Danio rerio: one gene and its partner. The protein of the gene in region 2 purifies or fractionates together with the protein of the main gene of each other region. This does not show direct contact. Links are inferred from orthologs where the notes say so. Each region holds a gene or a part of one and is shown on either strand. Other genes may lie near its edges. The genes, in order: cep43 and cep350.

Region 1 (4,469 bases), on a different chromosome or scaffold from region 2:
AACAATCTATTAACATCTTCAAAAAAGTGAAAATAAATAACATACTTTTGGAAAGAAAAATAAATAATCTTCAATGTTTTTCATGTTAAAAGTAGAAAATCAGCAGCATCTCTTCTAAATAAAATAACTCTAGCATATACTGTAAATAATATTTTAAACAGTGCATTTCCAGCATCTTCTGTAAACAAATATTTTAATGTAAATAATAACTTTGATGTAGTGGAAAATATGCCGTCTTAAGTCATCTCTGGCGCAGCTTCCAATCCTCATCATTGTAGGGAAAAGTAAGGCTCAAGAATGGATCCATCATCCTACTTGACCAGAGATCAGAAGTGGCTGCAGAAGTATAAAACAGCCTTAACAGAGCGGGGTCACGTGACTCCACACGCAGTAAGGAAAGTAATTGAAAAAATTGACCTGGAAAAATTAGCGATTATAGGTTGTGAATGTCGATTTCGATTATTTTTCGATAAATTGCATAGCCCTAATTAACATGTCGTCCAATGACTCTTCATCTAAATATGACTGATAATGTTTTTTTTATATATAAACTAGTTTTACACTGAAAGACATGTTAGACTGATTCTTCTCTAAATGATGGTAAACATTAATAGTCATAATAAATATGAAATAATAAAACTCCTCTGGACAAATTTTAATAATCAAATATACAAATATGGTTCTTTGACTCATATTCAATATGCTATATTTTACTGCAGTATACAGTTAATGTGTTGCCAACTTTAGTTGCAAAACTGCTAATTAGATTGCTTTTGCAAATAAGATTTCATTATTTCACATTGATATGTTTGATGAAGCCTCCTGTATTAATTTTCATCTATTTAGCTTTATAACTATAATTCCATGCAGTTACAGAAAACCAAACATGCTTGACATTTTGAGACATTTGAGATTTAAGACCTTTTTCTTTCATGTCTCATAACAGAGACACGTTTTCCTGCACAAGAAAAGTTTTTTGTTTTCAGTTTTTTACTGTATGATGCTCCGTTTTCTCAGCAGGAATGTACAACGTCAGCAAGTTCACAATGCCTAATCTTTGAAAATGTTATTTTAATTGTGTAGATTTTTCCAACATCAACCACATTAAAACAAGAGAGAAAACATGAAAGGAATCCATACTCACCATCCTTTGTGTTGAGGGACTTTTTCAAGTTTTCATTCACAAGAGGGGTTTTATTCTATTCAAAAGAACACAAATCTAAATGACACACTGAATCCTGAAGTACACACACACACACACACACACACACACGTACGTACGTACATAGCCATAATAGAATTGTATTTTCTGTGAATTTACAGTTGTAGTCAGAATTATTAAACCCCCTGAATTATTACCCCCCGTTTATCCCCCCCCCCCCCATTTTTGTTTAACAGAGCAAATTTTTCAACACATTTCTAAACATAATAGTTTTAATGACGCATTTCTAATAACTGATTTTTTTATCTGTCATGATGACAGTAAATAATATTTGACTAGACATTTTTTAAGACACTTTTATACTGCTTAAAGTAACATTTAAAGGCTTAACTAGGTTAATTAGGTAAAAAATATAGCTTAAAGGGACTAATAATATTGACCTTAAAATGTTTTTTTTTTTTTAATCATAACTGCTTTTATTTTAGCTAAAATAAAACAAATAAGACTTTTTCCAGAAAAAAATAAAATACTATCAGACATACTGTGAAAATGTCCTTGCTCTGTTAAACATCATTTGGGAAATATTTAAAAAAAGAAAAAAATTCAAAGGGGGACTGATAATTATGATTGCAACTGTAACTACTGTTTATACTGAATTTATATTATTTATGCAAAAAAAAAAGTTGTTCTAACTTACAATATTTGTCTCGTTTCTACAAATATCTACATTTCAAAGTGAAAACAAGATTGATCTACTTTCTTCACTGGCAGATAATTTTGCTTGTTTTAATGAAAAACTCATAATTTTGACTGATCTATTCTGAAGTTAAAAATAAATACAATTTTACTTGATCTAAGAATTTTTTTTTTTAATATAGAAAACAGATAAAGCATAGAAAGAAAAGCCTTTTTGTATTGTGATTATTCAATTTCTATACCTGAATAGTGTTAGACTAGCCAGAAAACCGTCAAATCATGCTATTAAAACCATCTTGGAAATCTGTATTCATATAGCAATATTTATTGAAGAAAAAATAAAATACTGCAATGCAGTCCTAGACTAAATATTCAAAGTAGCGTGGTAAAAAATAAAGGGACTGTGTCATAAGTTGTCACTGAATGAATGTGCGAACATAAAACCAACTTTACCTCAAATTAGTAGTACTCAGTTAGCAATAGCATAACATAAACTTCTTATAATTACCTCAACTTTGTCCTGCTCCTCCAAGGCAAGAAAAACAGCTGCACGTAGCTCTGCCTGTAAAGCCAAATAAGCCTCTAACTCCATATGTCCAACATTCACACCGATTTCTAACAGTATTATAAATAAGCATGTGGAACATTTCACCTCAAAATTATAGCACCAGATAATGTCAATGAAATCAGATTTATATCAAATTGAAACAGACTATGTGTGGCTTGATAACATTAAATAACTTCCTTTATAGCCCAGTCAGTTTGCAAAACAAGTTTATTCGACATTTACTTAGGCAGATTTGCTGGTTGATATTTAGTATAATAATAACACAGCAGGAATAAACAGTGACACTGTGAAATTTCATCTTTATTAGTATGAATGAGTAAAAAACCGGTTACATAACTGTCATAACGCAATGTTGTCACACTAGGGTCTTCTGTTGTCCAGTTGTTGCCCATAACAACTTTAGCATCACTATGCTATGCTAATAACGTTAACCGTTGTGCTTGGAAAACAAAATATATCCCGTATGAGACAGAGGTAATTCTGTTGTCTACAAAATTTCAAAAGGGTCTCGAAATAAGCAGGGGAAATACCTTGATTTTATTCAAAACACCGCTGTTTTCCAAGTTTTGGATCAGTAGATCTCTGAGTTCCGTGTCCTCCTCCGTCGCAGACATCTTCAATTTGTGTCATGTGACTACATGCTGAAAACTGCGCGCCCTGGCGGCTATTAGCGACTTCACATGTTGATTCATATAACGCACCAACAATCAGAGATTTAAGGTTAGTATGCTTGGATTTGACAGCTTCAGTCCGTTTTGAAAAACACATTGACCCAGCCAGATTGTGCTGATTTTTAATTCTATAGACCTAATTTGACTGGATCTCGCCTGCAGCTCATGAATATTAAGAAGATAACTAATATTTATAAATGAAATATGATTGTAGTAGGTTTACACATCCACTCCAGGTAGACACAACAATGGCTAGTACACTGTAAAAAAGTTGACTCAACTTAAAATTCTAAGGCAACAAACATTTATATCTAAGGACATTTTTAAGTTTACGCAGCTTAAATCGAGTCAAGTGAAGTAATTGGGTTGAAAATTGAGTCAGCTAAAAAATGTCCCGAAGTTGCCTTAAAATTTTAAGTTAAGTCACCTTTTTTTTTTTTTTTTTTTTTTAACAGTGTAGTTAGCTGGCCTTAAGGGGACAAAACTGAAAATTCTGTCATCATTTAGGCTACTTATCCCCCAGTGGTTCCAAGCCTGTGTGAGTTTAGGTTTTTCTGTTAAACAAAAAATACATTTTGAAGAATGTTGGAAACTGATAAGCTGTCATCCATGGTAGGAAAAAACAAAACAAATACTATGGTATTCAATGGCTAGCAGTTGCCAACATTTTTCAAAATTATATTATTTTGTGTTCAACAGAAGAAACTCAGGTTTGTGACAAGTGAAGGGTAAGTAGCCTAAATAATGGCAGAATCTTTATTTTTGAGTGAATTATCTCTTTAAATGTCACTTAGTCAAAAAGTCAGCAGATAAACAAGGGATTTTTTTTTAATTACTCACTTTCAAGTCTTAAATGATACAGGTGAGAATTTTTCATTAGTTGATGATATAATGCAAGTTAATGGCATTGGCTAGCAGTACTTCCAATCAAAGATGTACAGAAAATTAACAAAGTAGTAGCCTACATTAAGCAGAACAATTGATGAGTTCAAGAATGTAAATGTTATTCCATCAAAATGATACTAGTGCATATCCCGAATTGAAGAAGAGCGGTGTTATCGCGCGCGTACTGAAGAGCGGTATTATCGCGCGCGTACTGATCAGCTGTGTTGTCGCGCGCCTACTGAAGGGCGGGACCGAATGTGTGCCGCGTCGCGGGGGCGCTTTTGATCATTTTGGAAGCGCACCTTCTATCCAAGACTAAAAAGGGCATGTGCACTGCACAGGTTGAGCCCTATGTGTGCACGTGCCTGTTTGACATGCCTGTGGATTAAAGGTAAATGAATAACACTGCATTGTTCTGTTTTTTCCTGCACAGATCAATTATTTTAATTATTAAAACTTCATCAGTAGACAGATATTTTGTTTTGCC
Region 2 (3,826 bases):
ACACTGTTTGTCAAACCCTGGGTGGAACCTGTGTGTTTCAGTGTGTCAGGTTGTTGTTTTTGTGTGTTTTACCCATAAACTGCATCGGATGCATGAGTTTTCCCCTGATCAGGATATGTTAAATGCACAATTGCCATTTCCCTATTTTAATAAATGCAAGTCTCCAAGTCTATTTTGGCAAGCATGTTTTGGAGTGTGAATGTGTTTGTTTGAAGGTTTTATGGGTATAAATGCTTTGAAAAGCAGACTAATGTGGTGTGCGAAGATGGTTGGTGAGTGGCATTCTTTGAGCGTCTGCTTTGCCTGCTTTTGTGGTGGTTTCTCCAAATCGTGTCACTTTGCTTTACACAATCTCGTTTTTCCTTCTTCTGCCTCTCCTGTCTGTCTTTTTGTCTCTTTCGCTCGCCTTGTAGATTTCTCACTAAAAGGGAGCAGCAGTTGATGCAGAGGCGCAGACATGCTGAAGAACTTCTGGAGTGGAGGCAGAGGCTGGATGTGGAGGAGGCTGAAGTACGGCGGATGGAGAAACAAGCTCTGGCGGCCTGGGAGAAGCAGCAGCAGCCACGCAGCAGAACCCAAACGCAGCAGCACAGCCGGGAAAATGAACACAGTCACACTAGCGGAGGACAAAGCCCCATAGGACAAGGTGAGGAGTGTGTGGTAAAACATAGAGAAGGAATGGCCCTCTAAAGAATGATATACGTCACATCAGTTTATATTCTTTAACATTTTACACTGGAGTATAAATAGGCATTTACTTGGCAAGTACAGTGTTCATACAGTCCTGGAAAATTCATGGAATTTTGAGGCATTTTCCAGGCCTCAAAAAAAAAAGGTTTTGGAAATTTGTTTAACAAACATTTGTGTACTTGAATATATTTGAGATTATAATATTGGATAAATTTTAAATACAATTGCGATGTCCATGCCTTCATGTGACGTTCCCTGCATGGTGCAAAAAGCAACTTGCAGCTTCAACTTCGCCTCTGCTTAACTTGCTTTTACAATCTCTAACCAATCTCTAACTAAAGAGGTAAGATATAGTGGGTGCTAAAGGCTATTTTGTACTATTTGTTAAAACACAAGCCAACATTTCCATTTATTTTATTTATTTATTTAATTTTTAACAGATCAACAGTGGTACTGGTATCTCGTAACAAGTACAGAACTTTTTGTTAGTGATTCTAACAAATGCATACAAATGCTTCAAAAGCAAAGACAAAAATAAAAAGTGATTATAAAACAAATTTAGAAAGACAGTCACTGGGTACCCCTTAAGAAAAATCCAAAAGGAAAGCCAAATGTGCCAAAACACCTCAGATCTTTGATGGAAATCCTAGGTTTTTTTCTAGTGGTAGAAGTCTGGTTGCCACATACTCGGGTATCTGAGCAGTTGACCATATATATGTGTGTATGTATGTGTCAATGTCTATCTTGCATTTGAAACACAGCTGGGAACAATTGGGAAATATTCTATGGAGGCGAACTGGGGTTCAGATGGGGTTAGATAAATCCTGTGAATACATTTATAATTTTGTTCATGAACAGAAATTGAAGTCCTTTTGGGATAGATATTTGAGCAGGCAGATAGCCACTCCTCATCACTAAAAATAGACCCCAAATCCTTTTCCCATATCACCCTTAAAGAGACAAAGGTTGAAGGACCAATGTTAGACTGCAGTGTATATAATTCAACGGTCTTTCTTTTAAGCGTCCATGAAGAAAAAAGCAGTTTGTCTATTTCAGTAAAATAAAATTGGATATTACCTTCTTTTAACTGTAACTTTAAAAGGTGACAAATTTGCAGGAATTTACAAAAATCTTTACTGGGAAGACTAAATTTCTTTCTTCTCAAATGATTTATTTGGCCATCATCGAATAGGTAACACAATTCCGACAATCCTCTTGATCTCCAAGTCAAAAGTCCAATATTCTGTATTGCAGTGGGAAAATCAAGCATAATAGGTGACTTGGAACACAACTTATTTGGGATGGATAAACATTTCTTAACATCCTTCCACACCAAAGGAGTATTTGTTACTGTAAAAACACTTGTCAGATGTTGATTTTTTTGTACATTGAGTAAATGGTAGGGAGCATAAGACTCTAGGAAAGCATCTTGTAAATTCAATCCCAACCCATCGTGAATTGAATCTGTAAATAAACCAATTTACAAGCCAACATTTCTAAAAATTTTCACACAGACCGCAAGATACTTTCTAAAAAGTATTTTACATATAAATAAATAGAAACTACATAAATTATCTCATATTTTTTGATATGCTGTAATAAATTTGAACATGCTTTTTTTATATACACCACCTGTACATAGAGATTACTTGAAACATTATTTCATGAATATTTACCTAAAGTTTTGGAAAGGTCCTGAAATTTTAGTAGTAAAAATCAGTATGAACCCTGCAAGTGGTTAATTTTGGGCCATTCTGGTGAAATTCTTGATTTAATTGTCTGTTTGTATACTATAAAACAAATTAGTTTTTAACATTTTTGTCACGATTAAACTGAGTTTAGGAACTCTGCTTTACCTTGATTCTAACATCTAGCATTACAGTACTGCACAGCCTCTTCTGTCATATTATTAATGTCCCCTTTTAGCCTCTGTAAAGGTTTTCATTTTCGCTTACATCTTGTATGCATGTATGTTTTCACAGAAGCGGGCAGCGAAGATGACGACTCTGTGGCGTTGTCTGTGTCCAGCGTTCACACTGATTTGTCTGTTCCAGAGCAACTGGGCAGTCCGTCCTCAGATCGGCCTGTCTCTGAGCTCAACTCTGCTGTCGTCGATGCCCTTTATTCAGCCGAGTTTATTGCCACGGACAGCAAACAGGTAAAAATGGTCTTGCACAGAATGTAGTTTTGTAGATATGCTTATCTAAATTTGTAGATATACAAAGTTGTTTTCAATGTGCTTTGACATGACTCAGGGTGGATTGTAGCTCTCTGTGGTGTGTATGATTTTACATGTCCTGACCTTGAATCCCTCTTCCTGTGTGTGTGTTGCAGTCTCCTCCAGGGAAAGCCAGCCTCAGCTCTCTTCGACATTCAGACAGTAGCCGGCCTGGCACTGTCACTGGCACCAGCAGTTGCAGTAAGATGCAGGTGCACTCCGGCTCCAAGACCAGCGAGCCCCACACCAGCGATACTCATTCGGCCACTCCGTCTGGTAAGATCCTTCATTCTCCTATCAGATTTTAGAAGTTATCTGGATTGAGTTAAGATCTCTTTTCCTTTTAGGTTGCAACTTCTAGATTACACTACTTTGTTTTTTTTACATTTAGATCATAGTTCTATGGCTATGCCTGTTAGGCCTAATTATTTAGCAACAGTTTACCCTTTACATATTTACAAATAGGAGATGCAAAATGGAGGAGGAACCCTGTGGCAACAATATATAATGCTTGGTGTTCAGCTTTGGGTGTGCACTTCTCTTGATCAAACCACTTAGTCATGTTATTAAAGCACAGACAAGTCTACTTATTATGATGATCCATGAGAAATGGTGTCTTTGTTCCTTTTGTGGTTCAAATTGTTTAAATGTTTTAGTTGTGTACTTTTAATCCTTATGGAGACTGTAATATGTTTAATAATGTTTAATGCTACTGTGGTTTTACAAAGACAATAGTTGTATTTGTATGCACTCGTATGTTAAACCTATAATGCTTAATACGCTGGCGACATGCATGGTAATTTAAACATATTAAGGAGTTTTATTTGTGGTTTATTTTCTTTAAAAAAAAAAACAATTAGCACTTAGAGTTTTATAACCCATAACCCAGAATTCAGTTAGCATGTATGCACTTTAACC

What was found.
Region 1: the proteins of cep350 (region 2) and cep43 purify together in Homo sapiens (affinity purification with mass spectrometry; 6 studies listed by BioGRID and IntAct, counting the BioPlex papers as one, with this or other methods). This does not show direct contact. The link is inferred for Danio rerio from reciprocal best matches to the Homo sapiens genes CEP350 and CEP43.

Annotation. Positions count from the first base shown.
Region 1 is NC_133195.1:33,353,787-33,358,255, reverse strand, and holds the start of cep43 (centrosomal protein 43), read right to left. Parts: upstream 3,059-4,469; 5' UTR 3,041-3,058; coding exon 2,957-3,040; intron 2,421-2,956; coding exon 2,367-2,420; intron 1,200-2,366; coding exon 1,145-1,199; intron 1-1,144. UniProt on the Homo sapiens protein: Required for anchoring microtubules to the centrosomes. Required for ciliation.
Region 2 is NC_133183.1:16,331,834-16,335,659, reverse strand, and holds part of cep350 (centrosome-associated protein 350), read left to right. Parts: intron 1-413; coding exon 414-646; intron 647-2,672; coding exon 2,673-2,848; intron 2,849-3,024; coding exon 3,025-3,184; intron 3,185-3,826. UniProt on the Homo sapiens protein: Plays an essential role in centriole growth by stabilizing a procentriolar seed composed of at least, SASS6 and CPAP. Required for anchoring microtubules to the centrosomes and for the integrity of the microtubule network.